Lonchura striata: one gene and its partners. The protein of the gene in region 3 interacts with the protein of the main gene of each other region in a pairwise test. Links are inferred from orthologs where the notes say so. Each region holds a gene or a part of one and is shown on either strand. Other genes may lie near its edges. The genes, in order: FTH1, RIC8A, SDCBP and MTUS2.

The links.
Region 1: the proteins of SDCBP (region 3) and FTH1 interact in a two-hybrid assay, tested with the Homo sapiens proteins (2 studies listed by BioGRID and IntAct). The two-hybrid records come from large-scale screens. The link is inferred for Lonchura striata from reciprocal best matches to the Homo sapiens genes SDCBP and FTH1.
Region 2: the proteins of SDCBP (region 3) and RIC8A interact in binary tests that used the Homo sapiens proteins (3 or more experiments, as listed by UniProt). The link is inferred for Lonchura striata from reciprocal best matches to the Homo sapiens genes SDCBP and RIC8A.
Region 4: the proteins of SDCBP (region 3) and MTUS2 interact in binary tests that used the Homo sapiens proteins (3 or more experiments, as listed by UniProt). The two-hybrid records come from large-scale screens. The link is inferred for Lonchura striata from reciprocal best matches to the Homo sapiens genes SDCBP and MTUS2.

The regions. Positions count from the first base shown.
Region 1 is NC_134608.1:54,089,728-54,097,685, reverse strand, and holds the start of FTH1 (ferritin heavy chain), read right to left. Parts: upstream 3,004-7,958; 5' UTR 2,857-3,003; coding exon 2,746-2,856; intron 1,409-2,745; coding exon 1,262-1,408; intron 819-1,261; coding exon 693-818; intron 1-692. UniProt on the Homo sapiens protein: Stores iron in a soluble, non-toxic, readily available form. Important for iron homeostasis. Has ferroxidase activity. Iron is taken up in the ferrous form and deposited as ferric hydroxides after oxidation. Also plays a role in delivery of iron to cells.
Region 2 is NC_134608.1:53,231,494-53,239,079, reverse strand, and holds the start of RIC8A (chaperone Ric-8A), read right to left. Parts: upstream 3,013-7,586; 5' UTR 2,926-3,012; intron 1,556-2,925; 5' UTR 1,465-1,555; coding exon 1,381-1,464; intron 1-1,380. Other genes in the region: BET1L (BET1-like protein), read left to right, coding at 3,103-3,121, 3,787-3,878, 4,557-4,613, 4,832-4,999; VPS51 (vacuolar protein sorting-associated protein 51 homolog), read left to right, coding at 6,940-7,152.
Region 3 is NC_134603.1:38,160,882-38,168,323, forward strand, and holds the start of SDCBP (syntenin-1), read right to left. Parts: upstream 3,001-7,442; 5' UTR 2,845-3,000; intron 1-2,844. UniProt on the Homo sapiens protein: Multifunctional adapter protein involved in diverse array of functions including trafficking of transmembrane proteins, neuro and immunomodulation, exosome biogenesis, and tumorigenesis.
Region 4 is NC_134604.1:68,699,029-68,706,195, reverse strand, and holds the start of MTUS2 (microtubule-associated tumor suppressor candidate 2), read left to right. Parts: upstream 1-4,160; 5' UTR 4,161-4,229; intron 4,230-7,167. UniProt on the Homo sapiens protein: Binds microtubules. Together with MAPRE1 may target the microtubule depolymerase KIF2C to the plus-end of microtubules. May regulate the dynamics of microtubules at their growing distal tip.

The DNA of each region.
Region 1 (7,958 bases), on a different chromosome or scaffold from region 3:
GGAAGCAGCCTCTAGTTTTGCTGCAGAACAAGATCGAAGTCAGCCAGGCTTAGGTAGGCTCACATGCTCCAGAACCCTGTAGAGCCAGGCAGCTCAGGAAGCCTCTCCTCTTCCTCACAGCAGGAAGCATTAGCCAAGCCCCTGAACAGATCAGAGACACCCCCACTGCACAGCAAACTCACAGCAGTGGGGATTTATACCACTGGTTTTGTTTCAGAAAGTCCCTCTAACTTGGGCAGGACATTCCCAAGAGTGCTTGGACTTTCACACATATTAATCTCTTCCTGATATTAAGCAACCTCAATCCATCCTTGCCAAAAACTTCCATCTACAAAGAACTCCATGTTTTCAGATACTGTTCTGAAACACCAGGGCTTTTAATATTCTAAACCAACTCTGGAATTTTGTGGCAAAAAAAACCTTGTGACAAAAAGCCTTAAAAAGATGGAACTCAACCCCCTCAGAAATGGTCTCCATAGAGACTGTTCACAGACACCACAGAAGGAATAAAGCAGGTCCCTGTCACTTTAAAAATGCTCCTGGAAGGACAGCAGTAACTCCACCAAAGGACTCTGGAAGGGCTGCAACCCTGGTTCACACCTTTTTTCACCTTTAGCAACACCAGGCACACACAGCTCAGCCCCAAAGCTGCATCCTTGGCCAGCCATGCTGGACCCCCAGCATGCACTTACATGTGGGTCGTTCTTCTCAGTTGCCAATTTGTGCAGCTCTAGCAGTGATTGGTTCACGTTTTTCTCCAGGTGCAGGGCACACTCCATGGCAGTCAGGCCATTCTCCCAGTCATCACGGTCTGGCTTCTGCAAGGGGAAAGCACAGGCAATGCTTTCTGTAAGAACCCACAGACCAGCAGGGTGCAGAGCTTTAGATCACTCTCAAAGCCTGTTTAGATCAAGTTTAGGCATTTATGCAAAGTCAAAAGTTTGAAGAGCACCCTCAGAACAGAACTGATCAAACCCTTGAAGTCCCACTTCTCAAAACAGTGCATAGAGCACATCTGCTCTGTGTTAAATTTAACGATGGCGATGAACCAGTTGCCTTCTGGTTCTGCCCTCATCCCACAGCAAACAACAAGGGGCTCAGCACCCTCTCCTTACACTTTTTGATTAGTCAATCAGCACATATAATCAAATTGCTCCACATCTCAAACTGCTGTGCCTCCCCAGTGTCAGCTGCTGCTCCTTCTGGGGAGGACCCAGAGGAAAATTCATCCCCTCCCAGCTGGGGCCAGCCCCGAGCTCACCTTGACATCCTGCAAGAAGATGCGCCCACCCCTCTGGTTCTGCAGCTTCATCAGCTTCTCAGCATGTTCCCGCTCCTCGTGGGACTGGTGCAGGAAGTACTTGGCAAAGTTTTTCAGGGCCACATCATCCCGGTCAAAATAGTAGGACTGAAAAATAAAGAGTTTACAGGCTCTAAACCTCTGCTCCAGTCCAAGGCCAGGCCAGAAAGGCAGTGTGGAACAACTCTCCCCGAAGTATCATTCGATTTTTCCAGTTAGCATTAAATTTTAACCTGTACCTCTACCAAGGGCACAAATAAATGGTGTTTGTGTCCTTGGCTCAGCTCTAAAAACACAAAAGAACCCTGAACCTCCACAGACACCTGTTCTGAGCACCATTAAACAGCGGCCTTGAAAGGCCTTTTTCAAGGAGAAATCTTCCCTTTGTTTGCCTGAGCTTGTTTACAATGATCACATTGCAAGTCAGGGTCATGACTTGCAACATCAGGTAAGGGTGAGCCAAGAACTTTAGGTACTCCTGCAATAAAACTCTTGCTTCACTAGGCTTTCCAGGGATTAGAATAAGGAATACACTTTCTACTTTTTTTGCAGGAGGGAAAAAAAGTCGCATTTAAAATACAAGAGATAAATTGAGCTACAATATGAATTCAACTGCAACTAAAATATGAATTAAATTACTTTTCTGAAAACAAAGAAAACCGCCCTGTAACAGCAGTCAAAAGCCGTGACACAGCTTGTTTATTCCTTGGTTAGAGCCATTACCAGGATTCAATGCAAAGTTCTGTATGAACTGCCAATTATTTACCGACCTACTCCAGAACTCTGCTCTTAGACCAGCGGCCTGGAGGCTCGAGGCAAAACACCGGTGCTTGTGTACCACTGCCACCCACCAAAAGAAGCTCAAAAAAGGGCTCAGAACCAAACTAACACAGAAGAGAACCTATAAAATACATGCCACAACTCAGCACAGTGCCACTGGGAAGTCTCAATGTCCCAGCACGCCCAAAGCCCCAGGATTGCTGCACAGAGGTCAGGGAACAGCTATAACAGGCGCCTCGGGCCATAGGAGACGTGTAAACACAGGGCCCGAGAAAACCACAGATTCCTACCGATTCCTGGAGGAAAACCCGAGCCTGGGAGGCAAGCACGCCTGCGGGAAAGGCGCCAGGAGCCTCGTTAGGCACCTCCCGCTACCCAGCCCGGCCCCAAGGGCAGAGGCGCTGAGCGCGGCTGATAACGGAGCCGCCAAGGGCAACGGCCCCGCGGAGCAGGCGAGATAAAAGGACCTCACCTACACCCAGGGGACGGCCCAGACGGGCCTGGAGGCAGCGGGGGGAGGAGGAGGTGGAGAAAAAGGAGGAGGAGGAGCTGGGCCCGCAGGCACCGCCCGGCGCCCAGGAACCCCCCGCCGAGCAAGGCCCTCATGCAGCCCCTTTATCTCACGTAGGACCCTTCCCTCACGCCGCCGCGCCCGCGGCTCTCACCATGCTGAGGTACACGTAGGACGCGTAGAGCTCCAGGTTGATCTGGCGGTTGACGGCGGCTTCGCAGTCCTGGTGGTAGTTCTGGCGCACCTGAGACGGGGGCGCTGCCATGGCTGGGGTGCTCCGGTGACTGTGCAGACGGCGGTGTGAGGGAGGGGTGGCGGCGGGCCCGAGCGCGGCCGGTTCCGTCCAAGCACTGTTGACGCAGGAACCCGCTTCGCTCCGCCGCCGACGCGCTGTGAGGGCAGCCCGCCCGCCGCCGCGCCTTTTATACGGCCGCGAGCCAGGCCACGCCCCCGCGGGGGCGCGCGGCGTCCCGGCGCGCCTCTGCTGGCCCGGCGTGACTCAGCACCCGCCCAGGCCACGCCCACCGCGGGGCGGGGCCGCCGCGCGCCGCCGTTTCCCGCCGCGCGCCGCCGTTTCCCGCCGCGCGCGCGCGCCGTCCGTCCCGGAATGGCCGGCGCTGGGAAACCCCCGGAAAATCACCAAATCCGGCCATTCCCCCTCCGCCACGCTGCCGAGCCCGCCCGTGTCCCACATCTCCCTCCCTCCGCGCACGGGGGCTCCGCCGCTGCCCCGGGCGGTGGGTGCCAATGCCTGAGCGCCCTCTCCGTGAGAGGGAAAAAGTTCCCAAAGTCCAATTTAAAGCCAGAAATTAAGGCCAAATGTCAAAAGCCGAACGTGTTGGTAATGGGATGACTATTTCAGCTGCTTTTAGTGCTGTCCCAGTCACTCAGTGTGTGCCATCATTTATTCTCAATAAACATCAGGTTCTTCAGTCATTCAGTTCAGTCATTAATTTTCAATAAGCACTGAAGTCTTAGTATCTGCTTTCTTAAATTTTAACCAGATTACAAGGGACTAGAAAATGCTTAAACTGAGATCATCCCATAGCACTGAATCCCCAGTCTTGGCTTTTCCCAAGCCCACATTTAACCCTGTTTTTTCCCAAGCCAATGTTCCTGCTGAAATCCACCAGAAATAGAATTTACTCAACCTGTAAACTCAGAATAAATAATTTTTCCTCTACCTACTGCGCCTACAAACTCAGATTAATTATTTTTTCCTATATGTACTCAGACCATAAACTCAGATTAAATAATTGTTTTTCTCTCACCAGTTTTTTTACACATTTTTATCCGGTCTTTGACCCTTCCCAGCACTGTGGGATGTCCCATGCGTGACTGCACCAGTGCCTGTTTGTGGGTAAAGGGTACCAGAGCATTTTTCCAGACACTCCAAATGCCCTGGAGGGAACAGGGAGCCTCGGCCTCCCTTTGTTTCAGGGTTTTCTGCTGCTCCTGTCGGTTAACCATCACAAGTAATTAAGATCTATAAGTTAACATGGGTCATACCTATGCTTCAGCAGGCTGCCAGGTACATTTCAAATCTCCTGTTCTCCTCCCACATAAATGCTTATGTAAAAAAAAAAACAAAAAAAAAAACAAACAAAAAAAAAAAAAAAAAAAAAAAAAAAAAAAAAAAAAACAAAGACTAGCTGCTGGGCAGACTCTTTCTTAAATTTTTTTTTCTTTATTTCTGCATTCACAGTGGAGTGTCTTCACAACAGGAACATCAAACAAGATCCATATTTGCAAAGTTTGTAACGGGAATATTTCCTCTGCAGCTCGGACAGTCTGTGCCACTCATGATCACACGTCGGTAGGATTAGGGAAGTCCCAAATTCTGCTTTCTGGAGTTGCACAATGCACATTGTGTTTGATGACAGCAGATTTACATGGTCAAGAGAGGAAACACGGGGTTGCACAGCCATGGGGGTCATGTCTTGGTAACCAAGGTGAAGAATTCACCAGTAATTCAGTTCAGCCATTCCCACATCTTTCCTGTCCCAAATTACTGTTTTAATTTTGACTCCAGTTCATATTGTTTCCTCATGGCTCTGTTTAGGCCTTCTTTTATCTTGTGCTGCTCTTGGTGAAAATGCATTTATAATGAAATCCCTGAATGATTTGGGCTGGAAGGGACCTTAAACATCATCCTGTTCCACCCTTGCAAAGGCCACATGACCTTCCACTATCCCAGGTTGCTCCAAGCCCCGTCCAGCCTGGCCTTGGACACTTCCATGGATCCAGGGGCAGCCAGAGCCTCCCTGGGAAAGCTGTGCCAGGGCCTCTCCACCCTCGCAGGGTAAAATTCCCTCCTAAATGTGAAAATCACTTGATGGAAAGCCCAGCCTGAGTAAGGTGATGCTTTTAGCAGGCTTCTTCCCAAGAATGCCTGTAAAGCTCTCTAGAAAAAAAATTCTTTACTGCTTAGGGAGAAATTCTTTCCTTATTTTAGTACTTTTTACCCCTCAACATTCCCAGCTGCCCAGGGCCTGCCCCATCCTCTCGGCAGCGGCGGTGTGTGGATTTTGAATTCATGTCCCTCTCAGCTGCTTTCTTGGGCTGAAGTAGAGGCATGTTCATGCTGCCCACATGCAAAAACAATGTATTGTCTGCCTACACAAGCTTCAAATTGTTGAAGACAATCCCTGTTTTTCCTTGGATGATATCCCACCAGGAACAATGGAGCAAGCTCTCTTGTTGTTTACAGCTTCGCTACTTTACACAGGGCACAGACCCCAAAATCCACCCATTTAGGGATAGTGAAGCTGAGTTTTAAGCATGCAAAAATAATCAGAGCTTCTTTGGTGAGTGTCTGCACATGATACAGAAAGTTATTAGGTCAGAGATCAAGATATACCCAAAGGAAAAGTTTCCGTGCCTCCTACTCCCTCTTTAGTATCATTTAACCTGACTCCACCCGTGCCCTTCTCGTGCATGACCTTTCCAAAGGGGTAGAAAACAGGACTCCTAAACAAATACTGGGCAGTATTTGCCCAAAGTAAATCTTGATACAGTCCCTGAGCAAAAGCCTTGGCATGTGGCTTAGGCATCCAGTTAGACTTCAGGGAGAGGGCTGCCTTGGTGTGAGCAGACAGCCAGAATGCCCAGGAATGCATAAATTTCATTTCTCACCTGTAGAAATTGTTTACCTCTAGCTTTAAAACACTTGATTTTGCCGTGCTGGTTTAATGGTCTTAATAATAACAAATCCCAGTTAAAAATCAACAACTGTTCCAATTCCAGTGAGCAAGAAAGTGCTGAATATGCCTCAAATGTTAAATCCACAAAAATACAGTAACTTTTTTTTTTTTTTTTTTTTCCAAAGCTCAAAGTCTTGTAAATAAGATAAACTGCATCCAGTCAAATATTTGTTATGGAGAGCTTCCACTCCATCCACAAACTTCAGTGTCATTCAGCTTCCAGGCTTTATGCAAACACAAAAGCAACTCTAAACTTGGCTCCGAGGTTGATCATGCGTCTGGAAATTTGACACTGGTCTCAACTGTGAGTTTTGAAAGCTGTTTACTGAAAACATCTGGGCTCCACTCGCTCTGGGAGTTTAACTGAAAACTCCTTCTTGTCGCTCCTTGGGTAAAACACTCGGTGAAACCTTTTCAGTTTGTTTCTTTTAGGTGCCTGAATTTTTCCAAATGGGAAACCTGGGATTTAGGCAACAAGTTTTCACTGGGTACTTACAGCACAGAATGCAAATGCCTGGGGTACACAGAGCTGCTGGCTCCTGGAAACACTCTCCAAAGGGAGACAGACAAAGGATGTTGGAAGTTATGGAGGGAAATTTGCTTTGGAGACTGAAAATGAAGCTGTTTTTTATGCAGGAAAAAAGTCCAAACACAGAATAATCTGCAGCTTTGTACTACACGATTTTATAGACAAGGAGTATAAAACCCTCTTTAGACAGACAAACTTCTTCTAAGTTGTGAATAGGATTTTTTTCTCTCTGGAGTATTTTTACAGCAGTCTAAACAAAATGCTGTAGGAGATTGCAATTCTCTGATTTGCCCAGAACACCCTTTCTTTAATTTATTTTTATTTCTTTTACAAGCCTTGTAAAAATACACTTAGAGCCAAGAGAGTGAGGAAGAACAATGTTAATAATATAGTAATTCTGTCAGTACAGCCAGAAGAAGGATCTGGTTTGGAATTTACTTGGATGATTTATCCCTTTTTAAACTAGTTTTCAGACTGACTCCTCTATCTGTGAGGGGAAAACTCCATCCCAGATTCCAAAGGCAGCCTATGGCCCAGGTGCATGTACAGGAGCTTTCACAACACGGATTTGCCAAGCTGCAAAAGCCACAATAAGTTTGATGTTGACATTCCACCACAGGCCACAATCCACAACATTTGCTCTACTGTAATGATCCTCCCATGGTGCCATCCACCTTTATTTTCCCCTCTCCCAGATTCACAGTGTTAAAAACAAGGGGGTGGGGATCATCCCTGTCCCCTGTTTCGGTTGTATTGAACTTTTTCTTCAAATACTGTACAAAAATTGCAAATAGACCACACATCTAAAGTCAACAAATATGGGGAAATTTCTCAACACACCACAAAAATCACCTCCTTCTGAGCATGAATTCCCCTGGAAAACACTGGTGGGTGTTGAAGCCCTCATGGATGACCAGGCAGTTTTAATTCTAGACACAAGGGTGAAATGTACTTTTTTTTTAAAGAAGTTTTACTTGGGAATCAAAGAGACAAACAGGTTTGTCCCCCCTGAGGCCATCAGGTAATTTTGTAAGGATGCACAAAGTTGTTCCTTGGATTTAGTGCAGCACTGAGTTTGAGCAGACACTAAATCCCTCAGAGGAGGCTGCTTTTATACTCAGCCACCCAAAAAAGGGACGAGCAGCAAATGCTTTCAAGCATAAGGAGAAGAAACAAGCTTTTACAAGGAGCTGGCAGTTAAAGGACATGCAACAGCCTGATAAAACACCACAAAAACAAGCAGTGGCCCATGGCTGATCTCTGTTGGGCAGGATGGGTGGGGGACACCCCCAAACTGCTGAGCAGGTCTCTCCAGGAACTCATTCCATAGCTTATTCAGAAGTGAAGGGATTCAGCTGATATAGAGGGATGTTCTCAGCAGAAGGAGAGTTTTGTCTGGGAAAAGCTTATTCCTGCTGTGCTGTGCTGGGAGGGGACACTGAATACACTCCTGTGGTTCATGCAGAGGTGCAGCCACAATTCCACAGGGTCCACACCCACATCCACCTTTCCTGCTGGGTACAACTTCCTCCTAAGCCACGTTCAGGCCCTTGGCACTGAAGTAAAAATACTGAAAAGCAGCTCAGGGGGCTCAAGTTGTGCCTACAGAAGTTGTGCTGCTTGTGGAGCAGCGAG
Region 2 (7,586 bases), on a different chromosome or scaffold from region 3:
GCCACTGCCGTGTTCCACAAGCAGGCTGCTTGTTCCCTCAGCACATCCTCTTTTCAGGCTGTAATCCCATTTGGGGGTATTTTGGCCACACCTGGGGTTTTGCTTTAGCTGTAGCATATTCCCAGCAAGCAAAAACTGCATGCACAACAGTGAATTAAAAACAAATCCAGAGGAAAAGCGTACAGAACCATTAGTCTTGCAGCAGAAGCAATGCCAGGCAGTGCCAGGTTTATCTGCAGATTCATAATCCTCTTTGACTGCTCCATTTCCTCCAGACAGGCCAGCAAACCCTGTGGCTGCAGTTCCCTAGGCTCAATACCCCAGGAAGGACCCAGCTGGGGGACTCCAACAGGAAATATCATGGTTTGGGGGCACACAGACACTGTTTGCACCTGCTGCTGGTGCTGTTAATCCTTAGTGCTGTCCTTAACAGACACCTGCTCCTTCTTGGCCAATATCTCCCCGTTCCAAATCTGACTGTTAGGAATAGCTCCACACACTCCCTCTCTCACACACTCTTGCAAAATATTCCTCAGGTTTTCCCTGCTGGCTTCCACCTACTCCAGCCTGGTGCAGAGTGAGTCAGAGTGATCCACAGGGCCAGCCCCTCTCAGGGGAAACCTCCGAGTTTCTCTGACAACTAGAGTCTGTTTCAAACAGGATTTCACAGAGCCATAGAATATCCTGAGCTGTAAGGAACCCACACAATCCATTCAGTCCAGCTCCTGGCTCTGCCCAGACACCACAACAATCCTACCCTGTGTCTGAGAGCACTGTCCAAATGCTCCTGGAGCTCTGGCAGCCTTGGGGCTGTGCCCATTCCCTGGGGAGCCTGTTCAGTGCCCAAACATCCTCTGGGGGAAGAACTTTTTCCTAATATAAAACCTAAACATCTCCAGCTGTTCCCTTGGGTCCTGTTACTGCTCAGAGAGCAGACACTGGAGCTGCCCCTCCACTGCCCCTCAGGAGGAAGATGTAAATGGCTGAGGTCTCCCCTCAGTCTCCTTTCTCCAAGCAGAGATTTACCACCACGGATTATCTTTTCCTACTTTAAGGCTAGAAACACTTCCATCTCTGCTTCCAGATCATTGGGGTTTGATATTCTACATTCTACATTCATTATTTACTGCTTTCAGAGCCATGCCCATATGAGATCCCAGCAGTTACCTCCAATCATCTTTTGACTTGCAAATCCCAACATCGTTTCACCTGCAGCCCCTCCCTGGATTCTCTCAGCACCTCCAAAACTACCTTAACATAAAAGCTCCTCCTACTCAGTCCTCACCCTGACTCTTATTTCCAGGCCAGGCTTTACTTGGGATCTTGATAATCATTTTTTTAGGAGTTCCTGAGATGAGGGAAGCGTTGATGCTCACTCACCTCTTGGTTGTAGACCTGGAGCACCTTGAGAACCGTGTCCTGCTCCCCACTTTCCAGCGTGGACACCACAGCCTGGAGCTCCATTATCCCAACAGCTCAGCTATGGCACAGCCCCAGAAGAAGAGGAGCAAGGGGATTTCCAGGGTGATGGAAAAGCAGCTCGGCACACAGACCTCTGAGAGGGAAGAGAGAAAGGGGTGGAGAGAGCAAGGAGGGAAAAAACACAACACAAAAAAATCCCAAGTGATATTGCTCACACTGCTGCATCCATAAAAGTGGAGCAGATGGATAACCCGAGCAAAGCCAGCAGCCAACTTCCTCTCTCTCTCTCCTGCTAATCCTCTTCTTCCTCGCTTTGCTTTTCAATGTTTAATATATGCCCTCGCAGGAAAGCACTCAGGGAAAACCTTCCCCCCACCAGCTGGAGATTAACGTGGAGCAGATAACAGCAGCTCCCTGAAATAGCTCCCTGCCTCCTCCTCCTCCTCCTCCTCCTCCTCCCCGCCTGCCCTGATTTCTGCTGCCGCACAGGGGGAAAATAACAAATAAAGCACGAAACATTGCCGCGGAGTGACAAGGGACGGAGCGGCGAGGCAGCCAGGCGGGAGAGCATCCTCCGGCTGCAGGCGGTGGGAAGCAGAGCAGGAGGGTTTGGTGGCGGGCTGGATCATGGCCGATCCCTGCAGGCCACCGCCGGGCGAGGATGTCCCTGCCGACAGTGCCAGCCAGCAGATGCGCAGCACCGCGGGATTATTTCGGACACGGCACCGGTTTAGCGGCTCACGGAGCCACGCGAGCCCAGGGCGCTGGGACATGATTCCCATGGGGGGAAATCCAGCAGATTTGAGCTCGGACATGTGTTCGGCTTCCGTGTTGCCATGAGGATGAGGCTGAGCTGGTCACACCAACCTCAACAAACCGGGATCCCAGGCACAGGGTTCCCGGGGTTTGGGAATCACACGGGCTGTCCCCTCCTGCCCACGCAGCCCCAGAGGGGCGTTTTGGGGGGACCAAAAGAGGCAGATCCTGCATTTTGGAAGGCGGACAGTTGCGGAGACAGGAGGCTGGGCTGGCCCGGGGCAGCATCCCCATGTGCAGGGGCTGGGATGGAGGGGATCCACCTCTGCTTTTGGAGGGATGACATTAACCAACGGATCATTGGGCATATCCCCATTTCCATACTCCTACTGCCACCTCCTTCCCTCACCATCTGAGTAAATTCCAAACCTCCTTTTTTGTCCCCATAACCCCGTTTATATCCCTAAACCCCTACCTTCCCCCCCAAACCTCTATTTTTGTCCCAAGCCCCTATTTCCCCCCAAACCTCTATTTTTATCCCAAGCTCCTATTTTCCCCTTAAACCTCTATTTCCCCACCCCCAAAACCCCTGATTATTTCCCCAAAACTTCTTTTTGCCCCCAGACCCCTATTCTAGTCCCCAAAGCCCTATATTTGTCCCCAACCCCCCGGTTTTTGCCCGCAAGGCGCTGTTTCCTCCCCCAGCCCCTGTCCCGCCGCTGTGCCCGGGCAGGGCGCCGGCCGTACCTGCGGCCCGGGATCCCTCGGGAGGGAATTCCAGCCCTTCCGCCCCGGCCCGGGCGAGCGGCCCGAGGGTCCCGGCGCCGGGGGGCAGGAGGAGGAGGAGGAGGAGGAGGAGGAGGAAGAGCGGGCGGACATTTCGTGGCGGCTCCGCCCGGCGGGGCGGGACGGGCCGGGGCAGCCATGGCGGAGCGGGGCCGAGGTGAGGGGACGAGGGACAGCGACAGGTTTGGGGGGCAGAAGGGGCTGGAGCGGCTCGGAGGGAGGAGGAACTCCCGATCCCACTGAACCCCGCGGGGCGTTTTGCAGTGCCCCGATTTCTCCCCCTATAGCCCGGGAATAACACCCCACCCCCCCCACCGCGTAAGCCCTAATTGCCTCCCTGTGCCTTTTTTGGGGTTCTGGGCTGCCCCCCCGAGCCCCTAATTGCTCCCTCTATCCATTAATTGTCCCCATGAATCCCTAAGCCCCCCCCCCCCATAAACCCTAAATACCTCTTAGAGCCCCCATAGCCCCTAATTGCCCCAGAACTCCTAATCCCCCCCAGCCCCAACCTGCCCCACAATGGGGGCAATGCCGAGAGACCCCAGCACGGCCGAGGGGCAGAGGGCCCCGGGTTTCACCCAAATCTCACCCCTGGATGTCACTGGCCATGGAACCCCCACAGCTGCTGCTGGGCTGGGGTGGCACTTCAGATACCCTGAATTCTGGCTTCTCACCCTGGCCTGTTTGGGGGAAGTCTGTGGTGTTTTGGTCACATTTTCAGAAGGTTCCACTGCACAAAGCATGTGTGGAGGGGCTGTGGTGGGAACAGAGCTGTGCTGTGGCACGGCAGGCATGATGTGTGCTCCTCGTTCTTCTCCCCAGGGCAGAGCCCGAGCGCCATGGAGGACCTGCTGGATGTGGAGAACAAGCGGATGGCCGACAGCCTGGCCAGCAAGGTCACCAGGCTGAAGTCGGTGAGTGCCGAGGTCACAGCAGGTGTTGAGGTGAAGGACAGGCTCTGATTACCTGGGAGTCCTGCAGGGGATCACAGAACCATGGAAAGGTTTGGGTTGGACAGGACCTTAAGGCTCATCCAGTCCCACCCCTTCCCATGGACAGGAACACTTTCCACTAGACCAGGTTGCTCCAAGCCCTGCCTAACCTGAACACAGGAGTGTTGCTAAGCTCACATCCTTGGGGAAAAATTAATGGAAAAAAGGCAGGCAGATTAATTTTGGAAAATACCTGTGTCTCTGTGTAACTGTTCTTAATGCTGGTTTGCTCCTATTAACATCAAACACTTTGATTTAGAGCTTTAAGCTCTAAATTATTATTAAAAGTGTAGTACAAACCATGAAAGAAGTTGATGACTCACTGTGTAAAAGGGCAAGCTGAATTCCTGCCATTGTGTCCCAGGGTTTAAACTACCTTCTCTAGCTGGCAGATTTAGACAGCCAGGCTTTATTTTCAGAGCTGAAAAAGTTCACCTGACAGGGAAATGCCATTTTCCTTGTTCCTGCACCAGACAAGCCCCTGTGTGTCTGTTGGAGCTGGGAAAGCAGCAGCTTGTTTTAATAATTTGCATTTCAGATTTTAGAGGTTCTCTGGACATTAAAAGCTCATTAATGCCCATTTCCTGCCTTGCCCTGCAGCTGGCTCTGGATATTGACAAGGATGCTGAGGAACAGAACCGCTACCTGGATGGCATGGTAAGGACCTGGCAAACGGGACACGGGGCTTTCTGTGCAAATCAGGGAATTGGGATGAGAGGTGGGACGGCAAAAGCCCTTAAGGAAGAAGCCCTAAATCAGCACTGGGATTGTTGGGGTGTCCTGTGCTGTTGGAGCTGGACTGGCTCATTGTGAGTCCCTACAACTTGGGAAGTTCTATGATCCTGCAATGCCTCCAAGGTGTCTCCTCCCACCAGGACTCGGATTTCCTGAGCGTGACAGGGCTGCTGACGGGCAGCGTGAAGCGCTTCTCCGGCATGGCGCGCTCCGGCCGCGACAACCGCCGCCTGCTCCTCACCGTGTCCGCGGTGCTCGTCCTCATCTTCTTCATCCTCTACTACCTGGTGTCCCGGGCGGGGACCTGAGCCCGGGCTGGCAGGTGGCACAGGCCAGACCTCACCATCCACAGACCTGGCCACATGTTTTCCAGAGGAGCCTCCAGCCACACCTCCACCTTCCCAGTGACTTCTCCTTCCAGCTTGTCAGCGCTCCGGCTGGGCCCAGGCAGCTCTTCCAAAACAAGTTTGGCTCCAAAGGGATCTTCGTGTCTGTCAGGATTTTGGGGTCATGGCTCTGGCCGTGACCTCCTGCCTTGTCTCCATCCCGTGGGCTGTTTCTAAGGGCCACTTCCACATGACCTCCCTCGATCAAAACCAGGAACTAACAAATCCAGGGACTTGTGGATACTCCATAACCCAGCTGAGCTTTGCGAGCTGTAGGATTTAGGATGCTGACTTAGGGGATTTGGGAGTACCAATGTGTGACTTACATTCCGTGTGGCCACTCTCCATTTCCCTTGGACTTGCAGACCATATCCCTGGGCTGAAAGGAAACTGTGAAAGGAAACTTGTGCATTGCTAATCCGGGTGGAATTAGCAATGGATCTGGGCCTGGATACTCTCACATTGTAGCAGGGAAGAGATGCAGGAGAGCGGGACTTTCATTAAATCCTGGCTTGGTTGTCTTTATCATCCTTGTGGGCAAACCAGGCTGGACCCTCTGGGAAGGGAGGGCCACAGTCCATAACCACATGGATTTGCACTTGTGTGGAACCTTCCAGAACCTTCCCACACATGTGCAAATTAAGTTACTAAATCAGGGTAAAGAATACCGGTGGCAGAAGGTCCAGTTAACTGTGGTTAACGTGGCATCCTGCTTTTAGAGCACTTTGGGGAGATGTAGTGCCAATAAAGTGAGGTGGAACTCCCCCCGCAGTGCTCTTGGGAGTGGGGGGATCCAAGGAGGGATTTGCTGTTTTGTTTATGCATTTAGAGAGTACAAAAGGAACCCCTGCTTTACCTTGGAGGGTGTGTTTGCTTATTTGCTTCTCTTTTCCTGTAACAGGCAGGGCTCAGCCATTCCTTCTCCTCTGATTTAGACTCTCCAGCAAACCCTCTTCATGGATGGATGGCTGGGTGTTCCTTTGCTTTCTCCCTGTTCCCAGTGGGAATTCCTTTGCCCTTGGGCTAACTCGGGCCCATAGGTATGAAGAGAATGTTGTCCCATGTACCAAACTGCTCACAAAACACACCCTGGCTGGATTATGTGTTCTCTTTTCCACATTTGGGAGAAAACGTGCAGGAAAGGCAAGGACAAAAGAGGCAGCAGGAGCTTCCTCTGGCTCTTCCTGCTTTCCTGGTGCAACGTGGCAGGTCTGGGCTCTTTCCTTTGGGAAGAATCAACGGCCTGTGATTCCTGGAGCAGGTGACTCCCAACAAAAGGCCCCTGGAGCAGCCTGGCCTTCACCGTGGCAGGGTTTATTTTGCCTTTTCTGCTGTAAATAAAGCTGATTTTAGACCTTTTAGCCCAGATGTTTGTTCCTTGTGCGAGGTGCAAGGTCGATCACCTGGTTTTACCTGCAGCCTCACAGCCCAATTCCAGCGTCACCTGGAGCCACCCTCGGGTAGGGTGGGGGTCCCCAGGACCTCACCCGGTGTGAGGGGAGAGGAGCACGAGGAGGCACTGGGGCCTCGCGGGACACTGGGGAGGCCTGCGGACAGGTGGAGAGTGGTGAAAAGGGACAGTGAGAGACATGGGCCCGGGGTTAAGGGTGCCAGCGGCCGCTCAGCCCTCGAGGGTCGGTGTCTCCACCCATGTCTGCGTCCGAATGAGGATTCTTGTCGCCGTGGGGCAGCATGACACGGGCCGCGCCGGCCCCGTCCCCGTGGCAGCCGCCCCAGGCCCCGGGATCTGGGCTCCGCCATGTCCGGCGCCGCTTCCCCGTCGCTATGGCAACCCGGCGTCTCACCGGAAGTGACGTAATGGACAGGCCGGAAGTGGCTGCCGGGGCGGAAGCGGCGGCGCGATGGCGGCCGTGACGACGGGGAGCGGGGCCGGGAGCGGGGCCGCAGGCAGCCCCGAGGCCACCGGCGGGAGCACCGGGGGCGGGGGGTGGCGGCGTCCCCACGGGCCGCTGCAGCGCTACTATGGCCCGTCCACTGCCGAGGCGGCCGAGGCGCCCCCGGACCCCACCGACATCAACGGGCCCCACTTCGACCCGGAGGTGTTCATGAACAAGGTGGGCATGGAGAACAAGGGTATGAAAAAGGAGACTCCTCCCGCGGGCACCGCCACCTTGGAGAGGGCTCCGGGACTCCGATGGGCCTCGGGATGTCCCCGCGGGGCCGCGTCACGAGGGATCTCGGTGGGTGGGGGAGGACCGCGGGGTCCCCACAACCGTCGCGCACCCAGGATCCTGAAGAGATCCCAGAAAGGGCTGTCTCGAGCACCTTATGGATGTGTTTCTTTATTTCCTGATTCCCACAGAGTGGGAATGGTACTGAGGTGTTCCACAGCAGCTGGATGAGGCAGTTAGCACGGCACAGGGGGGAGCCCTGGAGGGCGGGGGAGGCTCCTGGAGAGCACTTCCATATCCCGGGAGAATCCAGGGGAGACAGTCAGGGATCCTGCAGGGCAGCTGAGGGGCCCAGACTGACTATGGAGGGCAGTCGA
Region 3 (7,442 bases):
GTGATACAGTTTTTCAAGTCACAGAAGGTATTGAGAACATTGTTAATACATAAGTTTTATTAAAGTTTTTGGTTTGGGGATTCATTTTCTCATTGAAAGAAAAGAGGTTCTTCTTAAAGTAGCAATTTAGCAAAAATTTGAGACTGAAAGTGACCATCACATAAATCCCTGAGCTATTGCTTCTTTAAGTGCAGATACAAAGTCCATTTCTAAATGAACACCACACACAAAGATGCATAATGTGATACTGCAGTAACACAATAGATATCTCTTCATATTACACTAAATTCATTAACAGCTTTTATGTTTGTTCAGCAGTGCCCAATAGCTCCAGCATCATGTCAAACTGCAATTAAAACTTAAAAAAAGCATGCTCTAAATGTGCCAGAGATCTAAACTGTAAACACATGGTCTGTTATATTACAATAATTAATTGCCTTGACTTTTTTGATTAACTGTTGCAAGTCTACCAAGCATAGTTAAAGCCTGAAAACTATCAATTAAACACATGCATTTAAGGTCAGTTTGAAGTTCTGTTTTAATCCAGCATCGACCTGAAACTATGAAATGCTTTTGCTCATCCAGAATGGCTAATAGCAAACATAAGCCAAAGCTCTTGGTCAGGTAAGTGGTTCCTGGATCCTCCATTCTGCCACTCACACAAGTCAAGGTACACACAGCATCAAACTCGGCATCTCCTTCTGTGCTACAGCAGCCCTGGTAGATTCAGGTGCTGGTCCCAGCACTGGCACATGTTCAAAGTCAGCACAACCTTGGCAGCGGGCAGCAAAAGAGGGCAGGCCAAGGACAGTGTGTTCCCAAGGAGTCACCCCATGGCAGGGCGACGAGGGATGCAACAGCAGCACTTTGCAGGTGGTGATCCTAGTATCCACAGAGCTCCAGAGATCAGCACAGAGACTGCCAGGTCCCCTGCCCCAGTGACCAACTTCCATAGAGCACCCTGGCCAGCTTTATTTCTCCTCCACAGATCAGTCTCTGCAAACAGTAACTTGTCACAGACAGCGTCAGTCAACCTTCCACCAGTTTATAAAGAGGAGCACAGTGCTTTCTGTAGAAAAGCATTAGCAAAGCTAAACTTATACTACTGTTCAGATTACATTAGAGAACACTCCAGAAGTTTATCCTGCCCCTTGACAACCCCCTCAGCCTCCCCTCCCCAGCAAAGGGTTAACAAACCCAAGTGTTTGTCACCAAGGTTCTGCTGGGGTGGCTCCCCCATCATAAACTCACCAGTTCCTGGTTTTGGTTTTCCAACTAAATTAGCTAGAGTAGCAGTCACCACTGTAATTGCATTCAGTGAGCTCATAACTTTGCATATGGTAACACAGATACCCTATGTTAGATAGTGTGAGAGCCACAAAAATATTATATTTAGTTTAAAAAAGATTTCTAAGTAAAAATTGACACCATCAGGGACCACCCTTAATTGCAGGAAGAACTTGTCCACGACTTCTGTCCAGTGTTCTTCATAGTATAAACATGAATTTCAGCTGGTGCTGTAACGGCTTTAAGCATTAGGGAGTGGATACCACAAATCATGAGTCACTACAACCTCCTCTTCTCTCTTAAAAATCTACACCAACATCAGAATCACTTTCCCCAGTCATTTCCACACTTGCACATACTGTGAGGAGACCAAGCGTTTAGGGACGTAGAAATGAAAACAAAAGGATGGGCATGGGCTGTAACTCAGCTGGCGACCCACAAAACCTGGCAGTAAAGACCTCGCCCCCCTCTCCAGTACACTTGGCTGGAAAGTCGGGCCCTCCTGCCAGCACGTCCCACTAAGGAGATCCTGTTTGCCAGAGGGAAGTACCGGGGCACGGATCGGAGAAGCATGAAAGGCGTCACTCGTGACACCCTGAGCCTGCCAGCAGGAAGTCTCGAAGGTGGGAGTGATCCCGAACTGCTTTCGGTGGCCTTCCTGGGAGGAGACGGCTTCCCGACTCATTCTTCAGGTCGGAAAGTATGAACGCCAACACAGGATGGCCCTGCTAAACCCCAATCTGGCCAGCCTGTAGTGACTGCTGTTTTTTAAAATACCAGCAGCCAAAACTGTGGGAGGGGGCAAACAAACCAAAACAAAACCCCGCCACCCCCCCTCCCCGTATGTTTTCCTCCTGTAGCCCGTGGAAAAAGTACAGCAGGTAACAATGTTGGCAACTATAATGGAACATTGGTTCCCACTTCCAAAAATTAGAAGCTTATGAGCCCCGAAATTCATGTTTAAAGCAGACCGAGGACAACACTTCCCGAAGGTCAGTCAGGCTGAGACATCACGAACCGAGGAGCGGTTTCGTAAGACACGTTCTCCATTAGTAACTCAGCATTCGCCTTCTGATACATATCTAATTAGCCTGGGAGCAAGTGCCCTCATTATGCGCTCAGCTCCGAAACCTGCTGCCTCCATTTCAGCCCTGAAGCAGGGCTGGCCTGCCTGAGAAGGCCCGTGGTGTCACTGCACCGCCGCAGCACCTCTCGGCCCGTCAAAGAGAATTGAGACAAACGCCCGAGCCCGCGGGCGCTGCGGAGCCCCAGCGAGGGCCCAGAAGGCGCTCCAAAGGCGAGGGCCGCGCACGGACGGTCGCACAGGGCGGCCTCATCCCCCTGCTCTCCCCGTCCGGGGCCGGCAGCGCCCCGCGCCCGGCTGAAGCCTTGCCCCGGCCGGCTGCGGGGAGCGGCGGCCCCGCGGCTGGAGCGGCGCCCACACCGCCCTCGCAGCGGCACGGCCGGGCCGCCGGCGCCCCCTCCCCGCCCCGCCATGCCCGCCCGCGGAGCGCACAAAGGGCGGCGGGGAGCGGACCCGCCCGGCCCCTCGCTCACCTCCGGCCCAGCGGGTGCTGGCTGCCGTCCGCCGGGGCTCGCAGCACGGAGAGGGGCGCGGGGGCGGCTCCCCTGGATGCCGCAGCGGCTCCCCCGGATGCCGGCAGCGCCGCTGCGAAGGGAGCGGGGCGGCGCGGAACTGGCCCGGCCCCGCGCATGCCCGGGCGGCGGCGGGGAAGGGGTCGCGGCCGCCCGGGCCGGGTTTGGCTGCCCGCGGCTGCGGGGCGGCGGTGTCCCGCTCCCCTCTGGCCGCTTGTTTCACGAAGAATCTTGGAATCATCAAAGTTGGAAGGGGTCGCGGCCGCCCGGGCCGGGTTTGGCTGCCCGCGGCTGCGGGGCGGCGGTGCCCCGCTCCCCTCTGGCCGCTTGTTTCACGAAGAATCTTGGAATCATCAAAGTTGGAAGAGATCTTCAACATCATCCAGACCATCCGTCTACCTGGCACTATCGCTGTAACCAGTCGACCACATCACCCAGCGCCAGATCCAGACGCCTCTTAACCACCTCCAGGGATGCTGATTCCACCACCTCCCTGAACAACTTGTCAGGAAAACTAATCCACAAACATCAGAGCTTTATGTCCAAAAAGGAGACAGAGGAGTCCATTTACGTTATTCGAATAAAGGGAGAGGTCATGGGACATTCCCCAGGGGTATCTCAAATTTTTGGTTGATGCAGCCTCCTTTTTTATACTATTTTCCCGGCCACATTTCCCTTCTCTCTTTCCCCATTGGCTGAGGTACTTGAGAGGTACAGAGTTCCCGATACGCCTGATACCAAAGATTTCCCTCTAATGTATAACCCTCCCTTTTAATTTTTAATTCTTACGGGATTTAGGGGTTTTTCCCTTTGTTTCTTTCATTTTTCAATGTCTAATTTCATTTATCAGCAAACCTAGAGCTTATTGGTAAAAGCAAATATCCTTTTCCATTCATCAGTCAGTGGAATCCTTCCCATTGTTTTTTTTTTATCTCTCAGTGCTAGTTTTATCTACTAGCAGACCAACAGCTTGTTTGTAAAGACAAATCCACTATTCCTCTCAAACCCATTCCAGTGCCTGACCACTTGTACAGTGAAAAAAAAAAAAAAATATATATATATATATATAAGTGTCTGAGTCTTCCCTGTTTTAGTTTAAGGCCATTTGCTCTGGTCCCCTCACTGCAACGACAGCAGGAGAGATTGGCCTTCACTTCAGCGTAACTTCCAATCATGGAACTGTAGAGAGTGATCAATCTCCCCCTGAGATTTCTTTGTTTTTGTAGGGCCTTAGACTCATTTGTGTGCCTTTATTAGTTGATAGTTGCTGTCCTCATGGAGAAAAAGTATGATTTTCTGCTCATTTTCCTTTTTTTTTTTTCTGCTGTAATAAAGCACACTCCACTAACGGCCTCGTGTCTGCCTTGTTCTGCATGTCTGCCATGGATGGGCAAGCTGTGACACATCAGAGCCAGAGTGGACCACATCACCTGTCCCACGGTCCAGCACCTGCCTGAGCCTTCTCCCACGGGCAGGCATCAGAAGCAGAGCTTTTATCCTGGAGAGGCTTCCCTGCAGAAACCATGATGTAAAGTGTACCAGCAACAGAGAAATCCCAGAACAAGCTCGGAAAGAGGTTTTCATAAATCAATTACCATAATTACCTGCCTTTGCCTTATTTAGAGTATGAACTAATCTAGCATCAATTTTTGGTCTTCCCTTCTTCATTACAATTCTTTGCCTGTTGTCAAATATTGTTCATCACACAGACAATTAAATGTGCTGAGTGCCCTAGAGCTTCTCTTCACCTAGGAAGAGCATTCAGTAGAGGTATTGAGCAGTCTTCCAGCACCTAGGCAGGAGGTCTGCTCCCACCTACGGTTTCTTTCTCCTGCCCTCAGCCAGTTCCAGCAGTTGCTGAGCTCTTCTGAGAGAAAGCTTAACTCATTTCTCCACCAAAAAACATGGATGCTTTTCTGCTGGTTAGTGAGCCATACTGGCAATAAAAGGCTCTCTCAAGCACAAGCATGAGCCAGAGCAAGGGAGTGTGTGCTGGAAACAGGAGAAAGGAGGAAGCAGGAGAAATGGGAATGAGAGGGAAGGTTGTTTTGATCCACTCTGGCACTAACAGGCTTTTTCATCATTTGAGCACAATAATAGCCTTAGTTAAGCTAAACAGAAACTTTGTTACAATGTATATTTTTCTGTTGTTGTTGCAGTGTATTTTCCAGTTCTTGATTCTCTCCAGCTGCCAGCATCTTTGGTGAGCACCACAGGGGCTGGGGTAGTAACTGCAGCAGTGCTGAATACAGAGGAACAGCAACTCTCTGGCTGCTCAGGAGGCTCCTGTTTCTATATCCAATATTCAGCCAGACCTGGAACCTTCCTGAATGCCACTACCTGAACCATTGGCTGCTGAGTCATGCAGCTATGGGTCATTAAATATATGTGAAGTGAAATCTTAGGTTTAGGGTATAAGTTCACAAAAATCCTGTATTACAAGTCTTCTGGGCCAGGAGGAAGGGAGGGAATCTACCTCTAGTTTAATAATGACCAATGATTACGTCTTTAGAAGTGCTAAATTTTCTATGTAGCCAAAGGAGATTTTAACATAAGTGCAGTGAAAGTTTTAAAACTGTGCTCAAAGTGTTCCACTCTTCATCCTGAAATGAGGTCAGTGTAGTAAAGGCCTGGACCCACCCTGAAGAACAAAGACACTGTGGTATTCATGTAGCATGGAAATTGCAGGTGTGTGACTGACAGTTTTCCAGTGCAATCCTGCTGGGTGCCAGTGCTGACAACTGAAGGATAGTGTTTTCTTTTAGTTTGATGTTGAATGCTCCTCTCATTGCAAAGAGCTTTCTTCTCTCTAGAAAGCTAGGTTGTTATTTGCTGTTTTCTGCATTACTTTATCTCTTTGTGGTCTTTCAAGATAGCCTGCTGTAATCCAGGGCAGAGCTTTTTCCAGTGGGTATCTGACTTGCACTGTCAGTGCACCCTCCCTGATCTTACCCATGAGACTGTAATGGATGCTCATTTTCTTTATCATGATGTCCTAGCCCAAATAGTTGGTTCCATGTGGTTTATTACTTTTTGAGCATGCCATGTGTGCCCTATTGCAGGTATATAATCTAAGAGCAAACATGGTCCAAGTTATGGGCAGTAGCTCTGGCACCATGTCCACCTGCAGGACATCCACCTTGGTATCAAAAGTGAATCATCCTCATCTCCCAATGTATTGTGAAACATGATTTCAATAAAGATTTTGAAAAACTGCATAAGGCTGTTTCTTCTTGCTTAAGAACAGCTATTGGGAGAGAGAGTATACTTTTGTACTGAAAAGCTTTCTCAATTTCTCAAAAAAAACAAAGCTTTGTTCATTTAAATATAGGAACAAAACATAATAAACCAGAAAGATAATTGCTGAAAAATGGGTATGTCTAATCTATGCAGTTCAGCATGTCTCAGGGTCCTCATCCTTTAAACACACAGACCAAAGACAATTCCAGCCACTTGTCTAATCTCGTTTCTTTCCCAGGGAAACCAAATTTTGGAAGGGGGTGCCATGTGCCTCAGTCACTCTGTGACATGAACTGAGCACTTGGGGCAAGGGAGATACTTCTGTGTCCTGGAGTTTGGAGGGAAGCAGAAGAAGGGCCAGGCCATGTCTTTCTAAAAACTCCACTGATACTGGGGAGCTCTAAGGAGTCAGAGGAGAATTGCCCAAATAAATGGCTCTAGATTAGTTCCTGAGGTATGTGCATCTATTGTTTGAAAGAAGTGGAACAAATAGCCAAGTTATTAGACTTTGCTTGTTTAAATTAGAATACCTACGGGCAAGTGTGATAGTTTTCCATCATCAGTGTACTCTTTGTGGGTTTTTTGCTGGTCTAGTGCCAACTGTCAAAGAATAACAGAAACCACCCACTGATCAGTATCAGTCTTAGCTGTTGAAAAAATCTTAACAAAATTAATACATAATTATTACTGAAAAATTCACATTTCTCCTTTGAAGCTGAAAACAGGTTGTGCTTTTGTTTGTAAGGAAGGTCTCCACCCATTCCACAATTGGTCACTCAAAACATGTACAAATTGTGCAAGATAGCACCCTGTCAGCACTGGAAACAGAGTAATTGTATTAAGGTGGTTCCATACCTGGGGTACTTAACGGATCCTTCTCTAAGTAAGGTGAAAGGAGTGTCCAAACATGTTTGTATTTCTAGAACAAATTTACCACAAAGCAGCTTAATTAACTGTGGGGCTGCATTGCATCTGAGGTGTACCTCTAGACTTCATGTACCAGAATTTTTATACTTTCCATGTGAAAACAAAATTTTCAGCATGAAACCCAATTATGCAGAAGAGATTACATTACAGGAGTACAGTAATTTACATAATATTAGATACTGCTAGGTAACTTTTTTCCCCATTCCTTGTTCATATGTTTTTGATCTTGCCTTTTAAGGGCATTATAACATTACTTTCATATTATTATTTATTACTTGTAAGAGCATTATAATATAACACCCACAGGGTTGATGGCATTCAGTCAGTGATTTTCCACTGTTCAGTTGGCAGTTCATGCCCAATTTCCTGTCTACTATTCCAACTCCACTCTA
Region 4 (7,167 bases), on a different chromosome or scaffold from region 3:
GATATTTTCCTGGGCAAGACTGTTTGCTTTACATGATAGGTTTGCCCTGACTGCAGCCATTTATTTCTTATTAAAATAGCCAGACAGCATTCACAGATGAGAGAATTGGTTTAGGTGTAATTTACATAGAGCTCCCCTACATCTTCACAGTACATGTTTCTTTGGGAGGCTGTGTCAAGCCAGTCTGATGAGAAGAGCAGCATAGACAGAGCCAGCTTCTCAGTGTTTACTGGGACACAAGAGTTGTCCCACTTTACCTACACTGATAACAGTTTAAGTGACCCAGTCACCACTTGTGTTAATGGAAAAGTGTCTGTGTTGTTATAGCTATTCAAGACAAGAAGATACCTAAGTTAGTATCAGATAGCCTCATACTGGGACAAGTGTATCAGCACTAGAGTTTTACCCGGTGTAACTGAAGTTTAAGATGGCATTTAAATAAAAATAGCTGCTATGACTACAGCAATTACCTAAATTAAAAAACAGAAACAAAAATAAAACCAAAACCAAAATCCTGAAACAAATTAAAAACAACAACAACAACAAAAAACCACAACCCAAAAAGATATATAAAAATCACACTTTCAATTGCAATTTTGCTCATAAACTGTGTGCAGGGTAGACCTGGAAGGTTAAGGAAAAGTTCCCCTAGGAGACAGTAGTTTATGCATCTTACCCAGTCAGAGCTGGGCACCAGGGAACTGCCTATCTGTGCCCCCAGGCTGCAGCTCCAGTGCCTTCTCCTGTGCCCTCAGCAGTGCTTGCAGCCCAGGGGCTTCTCTGTGGACCCTTCATCATCCAGACCCAAGCTGCATCCTCTGTGGTACAAAAACCCTTAAAAAAATCTTCTGGAGCTAATAGCCTTTAATATGATGTTGCAGCTTTTGCAGCTTTATCTGAGCATAGGAGGAGAGGCTATTTTTTCCCCTGACTTTGATCATTCCCAGATAATCTGTAAAGCTGAACACTGATTGCGTCTCTTGCTTATTTCTGGAGAGAAATGAGCCTTGTGCAGCTTTCTGGCATCCCTAGCTTTGTATTTATCAGTAAGTGCTGCCACGGGCACAGACTGGCTATATCCATGTTGCACATTGCTTGATCCTAGACTCCCATCTGGTGCCCCTGTGGCCCCAAGACATTGGTATTAATGCAGAGATGTTTCCTTTTTTTTTTTTTTTCTTCCAAACCTATGCTGCCTGAGCACATATAAAGCTGTGCAGCAGCCCACAGGAATGGTGTTTTATTGCATGAAATAGGCTATGGATTGTATGACGTTGGGTGATAAATGAAGTTTATGGCTGAAAAACCTCCTGTGACAGAGCTGGCAGACTGTGTAGGGTGAAGGAAATGGGAAGCACTGCAGTCCCAACTCTGCTGCTTGCTGGGGACAATCCCTCCTGTATGGCACCCATAGGCTGTGCTCAGGCTACATGGCATTGGCCTTGCAGCGCACTTAAAATTAATCAGCACGGATGATCACCAATCCAGCTGGTTCCCTGGATGTCTGTCAGTACAATCAGAGCCACTGAGGTTTCCTGGTGCTTGTTTAAACACCAGGGATGAAGCCTGGATGTGCAGCAAAAGGTGCCTCCAGTGTGCCAACCATCCATGCTCTCAACGACAGGGAGGGAAGGCCTGGGGCGCTTGCCAGGTGAGCCATGGCCAAGGAGTGTGGTTATGCCATTCCCCAGTTCCATCATGTCCTGTCTGGTGTGCTCCAAGGCAGGCTGTCCCTGCCCTGGGCCGGGGCCTCCTCTCTGCCTTCTATTTCCAGCTCTATGTGTGAGGCTGTTCTGCCACCTCTCTGTAGCTGCAGCAGCTTGTTCCTAAACACATTGACAAAGTGGGTTCAGCTTGAAACTGCTCTGCCTGAATTTATAAAAGCCATCCGCCCTTCAGTTTCTCATCATTTTCTTTTACTCTTTGCAGCATAAACAGCTATTCTTTTGTTATGCCTTCTGCTTGTTGGAGCTGCATAAGAAATCTTTCTATAGGCTAGAGAACTCTCTTCCAAATGTTGAAGAAAAACAAGTTTATGTGAATTGTCTAGAGCAGATAATTTCAGTTCTGCACAAAATCTAAAAATAAAGCGAGGCCTACATTCTACAGCTAAGTAGCTTTTAATTAGGTGTGATAACAGCATGAGTTATCTTTTAGAGTGCAATAGTTCCATGATCAGAAGTCAAAAGAGGGGAGCAATGATTGTTTGCAAAAATGATTGAGGGAAGAAATTGAAACTGGCAAGTATCTGGGTTTTTTTCCATATAATAGATCTTTTCAGACTGATAAATATTTTGAGTTAATTTGGACTTTCTCTGTTATTGTCCCTGTTTTAATAGAGCCAGTGGATCCTTTCAAATACTGATGTAAAAGAAGGCAGTGAAAGCCTGCTAATTCCCTGTCATCAGTGGCTTCATGGTAATGCCTTTGGACAAGACAAATGGCACTGCTGTTTCCTAAAAATCAGTGGCTGAGGTACAGGATGGCTTCAATCACTTCTTCAGAATCCCCTCTCCTTATTTTAGCCATACATAAGCTCAGGGCTTGAACATAAATCATATTCTGAATTTTGAGCTGAGGTGCAGCCATGCAGCCATGTCTCCTGTCCCGCCTGCTTTGCTGGGAGGCAGGAGGGTTCATGTCCTAAACCACTACAGATAAACTAGCCAGTGCCTGGTTTGTCAGGGTTTGTCCTCCTTTGTGCCAGCAAGAGAGATGCTCTCAGTGACTTTACCAGCTAAGATCCTTTATCTTCATTGTCTTTGTAACTGAAGCGTAGCATTTAGTCCAGCGTGGTGTGGGGGAAGAACACAGCTTTATTCAGCAGGAAGACAAACCTTAAAGGAAGGTCCTTTAAGGATAAAAGACAACGTTATGGTGCCACAGGGATTGTACTTGGCACTTCAGATTGCAGACAGATGCAAGCACAGTGTGTTTGAGCACAGGCAGAAATAAGAAAGTTATTGTGTGCCTGGGAAATAAGGATATATCCTGTGACACTGACTGTCCTGCCGTGTGAGCCTGTAACACCAGCCTGACCAGGCAGGCCCTGAGAAAAGGAAGACTTTCCTCAATACTGTACTGAATCCCATCTGCCAAAGGGCCAGGCTGGCACTGTTATGTAGATAATGGACATTTCTTTCCATGTCTCCCTAGACTCCTAGGCTCTCTCTGTCTCATAGCTCTGTGTAAGCTCCTGGTTATTCTCCCGGTGTCTCCAGGCATCACTGCAGGGGCTCCCAGACAGGAGGATGCTGTGTATCATCTGGCTGGCCTCGCAAACCAGGAATCCCTTCATCACCCCCTCCTGAACAGATCCTCATGCATTTGCCCAGAGGACTTCATAAAAATTAATTGAGTTGCCCAGCATTAGACACAGATGATAAAACTCCCATCTGATCTCGTGCCTGCTTGCCGATTTTAACAGCTGATTGAAACAATAAGCGCTAGCTCACCGGGAATGTAACAATGCCCATAGAGAGAGCTGTAGCACGGGCTGTAGGTGCAGATAAGGCTGTAAACGCACAATAAAGATTCCCTGCCGGTACCACAGAGCTCTCTTTGCTACGGGAGTAAAACCCTCGGGCTGCAGTTTAAGCATAGTAAAAGTGATGGAGATTACCCTCCGAGTTACAAGTTTTGTTGAAAAGCAAAATTGTGTCTCTAGTCGAGTATTTATTTATTCGTTTTTCTATTCTCTTGCTCATTGTAGGGTGAAAGAGAAATGAACTCGGAGCCAAGGAGCACTGGAGGGCAGGCAAGCAAGGAGCAGAAAAGCCATACCACGAGCAAGTCCCTTTTCTTCCTGATGCCATCAGAGGCACTATTACACAGACGCTGACCCTAAACATTTCCCTTCTTCCCCCACCTCCCCCCCAAAAAAACCCCAAAAATCAAACATCCCATTCGGAAACCTAATAACAACCACCTACGTGCTTCCAGGGCGCTAACCTGGGAAATAAAAAACATCTGGGGAGCCACAGGCGCGCCCCACAGCCGCGCCGGCGGGCGCTGTCTGTGCGCGGTGCGCCGCGCTGCCGGCGCGTCTCCGCGGGCGCGGGCGGAGCGCGGGGCGCGGGGCGCGGGGCGCGGGCGGGCCCGCAGGGGGCGCTGCGGGGCGGCGTTGGCCGCTATAAAAGCCGGGCCCGTGCCGGGCCCGCGCCGTCCGCCCGGCGCGGCAGCGGCGGCGCGGCAGCGGCGGCGGCACCGGGGCAGGAGCACCGAGGCGGGTGAGCGCCGCGCGTCCCGCGGGCAGCGCCGGCTCCGCTCCCGCCTCGTGGGTGTGCGCCCCTCCCTGCCCCGCATCGCCCCGGGGCTGCGGTTGCTCCGTGCTCACCGCCCCCGGGGCGCCGGGAACGGGACATGGGCAAAAGCTCCGGGAGATGGGGATAGCTCCTGCGCGGACGGGGCGCGGCGGGGCTGGTGGCTGCTCCTGTACCCCTGGTGCGGGCAGGAGATGGGGGAGCAAGCGCAGCTTGCTTATCAGGGTGGATAATATTTGTGATGAAATCTGTTCAGACAAAAGTTCTAGGGATGCCAATAGCCGGACTGGCTCGAGCGGGCTTCGCTCTCCGTGCGCGGATCGCAATTGCCGGCTGCACGCCAGCAGCGTGCCAGCGGGGCGACAGTGCCGAGGGAAGCAGGGTCCCGGGAGGGCTGGGGACCCCGGGGCACGGCCGAGCCTTCGGCACGGGCCAGCGGAGGGCTCAGGGCAATGCCGGCAGCCCACGGGAGCGCAGGGCTGAAATGCTGCTATTACTCTCAGCCTCGTGCGTGGCATATAACAGCATCACAATATTTTTCCGAAAAATGATGGAAGGTAAAGTAGCTACTACGAATAAAAAGCAGCGTTTTCCTAAGGAGGGAAAGCTAAACGTGGGAAGATAGGGCAGCGAATTCAGGTCTTCCTACTCAAGTAAAATGCCTCTGCTTGAAGAGCTGTTCATCTAGATCGGTCGTTTCCAACTCTGTTTAAATGAGTACGGGTACCCTTTCCCTCTTTGCTTTATCCCCTTCTCTATCTTTGCCCCTGCTTCTTTCTCCCCGGTCCCCATCGCTGCCTCCCGAAGGTAACAGTGCAGAGGAGGCTTGTGTGCCGTCGCACCAGCCCGTACAGGTACCTGTGTTAGGGAGCCAATGATCCCTAACATTGCACTAAACATGAAAAGAATAAGCCTTGACATTTATAGTTGCATTAAAAACTGCAAAGGTAAAAAAATATAAACACCTCTCTGCGGGTCAAGCATTAGAAATATTTGCTTATAAAGCATCGGTAGCAAAATCATTTGCATGTCAAGTGTTTGCATGCAGGTTAACTTTGCAACGGATGACTGCATTAAGGAGGCACTTGGCAGCCGATGAGCTGGATGTAATGTGATGCATAAATGCTTTGTTTTGGTTCGTGTAAATGCTTTGTTTTGGTTCGTGTGTGATTTCATTCAGGGATTGTTTTATGCTCCCTACATCCAGTGCAGTGTTTGTGGGTTTTATTGTTTCTCATCCCCAATTTCAAGCAGGGTTGTAGGCTTTTCTGTATCCCATGCTACATAAACCCTTTACTAGGTCTGCCTGTTTCCAATGCAATTAAATATACCCAGCTACTTGTCTCCTATTTATGCAATCTGTTGTGGAGAGCAGCGCAGCCTGTGCTGCCGGAGAGCGGTAGGAGAGAGCTGCGTGTGTGCAAATGAGGGTTAATGTCTCATTCCATGGTGCCTAGCCTCGCCTTAATTTCTGGAGAATCAGCTCTATTTTAAGGTACAGAAGGGGGATTCTGTAAGCAATTCTTTCAGCGCTACACTGTGAGTTTGGAAATTGCTACCTGGGAACGGGGGGGTGGGGGGAGGGGAGGGATGATCGGATGGGACACAGAGAGAGGAAAATGTTTGTAGGGCTGTGTCCATGTGGTTTATTTGCAGTAGCTTTTAATATGGTACTGTGTTTCTCTGTATATTTGTCACTTTAAGGACAGAGGTGGATATTAGGCTATTGATCTAACAAATGGCAAGTGTAGGGTTCGGTCAGATAAATAGTTTTTCTCTATGGTAGCATTTTCTATCGTGGTACATTTTGTTTTAGTGATAGCAACTGTAACAAGTAGGAAAGCAACTTTAAACTCATAGCCTTACTTTCTGGAGTGTGTATTTTTATGTAAAATACATTTATGTTATAGTAAGCAATATTAGCTATTTAGGAAGATAGGAGAGGTGAGCTAACAGCAGAAGTGCAGCTGTAAAGCACATTAGAGGCTGTGCTGGCAACCTGGTAACCAGTGAGAATCAGTCCTCTCTCCTAAGTTAGGAGAACAAAGATTTTCATCTTGCAGTGTGTGTTCTCTGTTTCTGAAATTCATTCAGGAAGTACCAGAAGTCAGTGTAGGACAGAGTTACAGCCAACTCCACTTACATATGCACTCTCTGGAAAGTCACACAATGGCAGAAAAAGTTAAATAATACAATACAATAGAGACTCATACACAGTAGTTGGTTTAACATTTGATTGAAGGCTCTATAGAAGAAAAGATCTAGGCATAATAATGGATATCTGGGTGAAGATATTTGCTGAAATGCCAGCAGCAAGCAGTGCAAGAGGATCTCTGCTCCTCCTCCTCCCCTGTCCAGATGCTGAGGCTTACTAAAAAGACTATTGAGCCAGCTGATTTAGCAAATGCTTTCACTTGACAAGTACTGCATTTTATCAGAAGTTATTTATAATTATACTGACCTTGTTTAAATGCAACTATTACCAAACCTGCTGCAGTCAGTTTTGTCAAAGAAGTCATAAGCAGCAGAAATTGGAAAGAAAGTAGCAAAGGAGAGCAAAACTTCAGTGTATGGTGGTTTGTTCTTCCCTGAACTTTTTTTACTGCAGACTCAAAACTGATGAAATAGTTTTTCTTTAGGAAAATAATTCAGATGGATTTTTGTACAGCTTTGGCACTATCCTAATATAAGAAGCATCCTTGTGAACTTGGGAATGCTGTTGTTTTCTGTTGCTGGGTATACATTTGATGCTGAATTCTCTGGAAACCTGATTTGGTTGTTGTTCTGCCCTTTGCTATTATATGGTATCATCTTGCTATTCTGGGTTTTCCAGTGGAGAACTGGAAAGAGGATAAGATTCAGTGCTTCATCTAAGGTGACCAGAAAGATCTCCAGAGTTCAACAA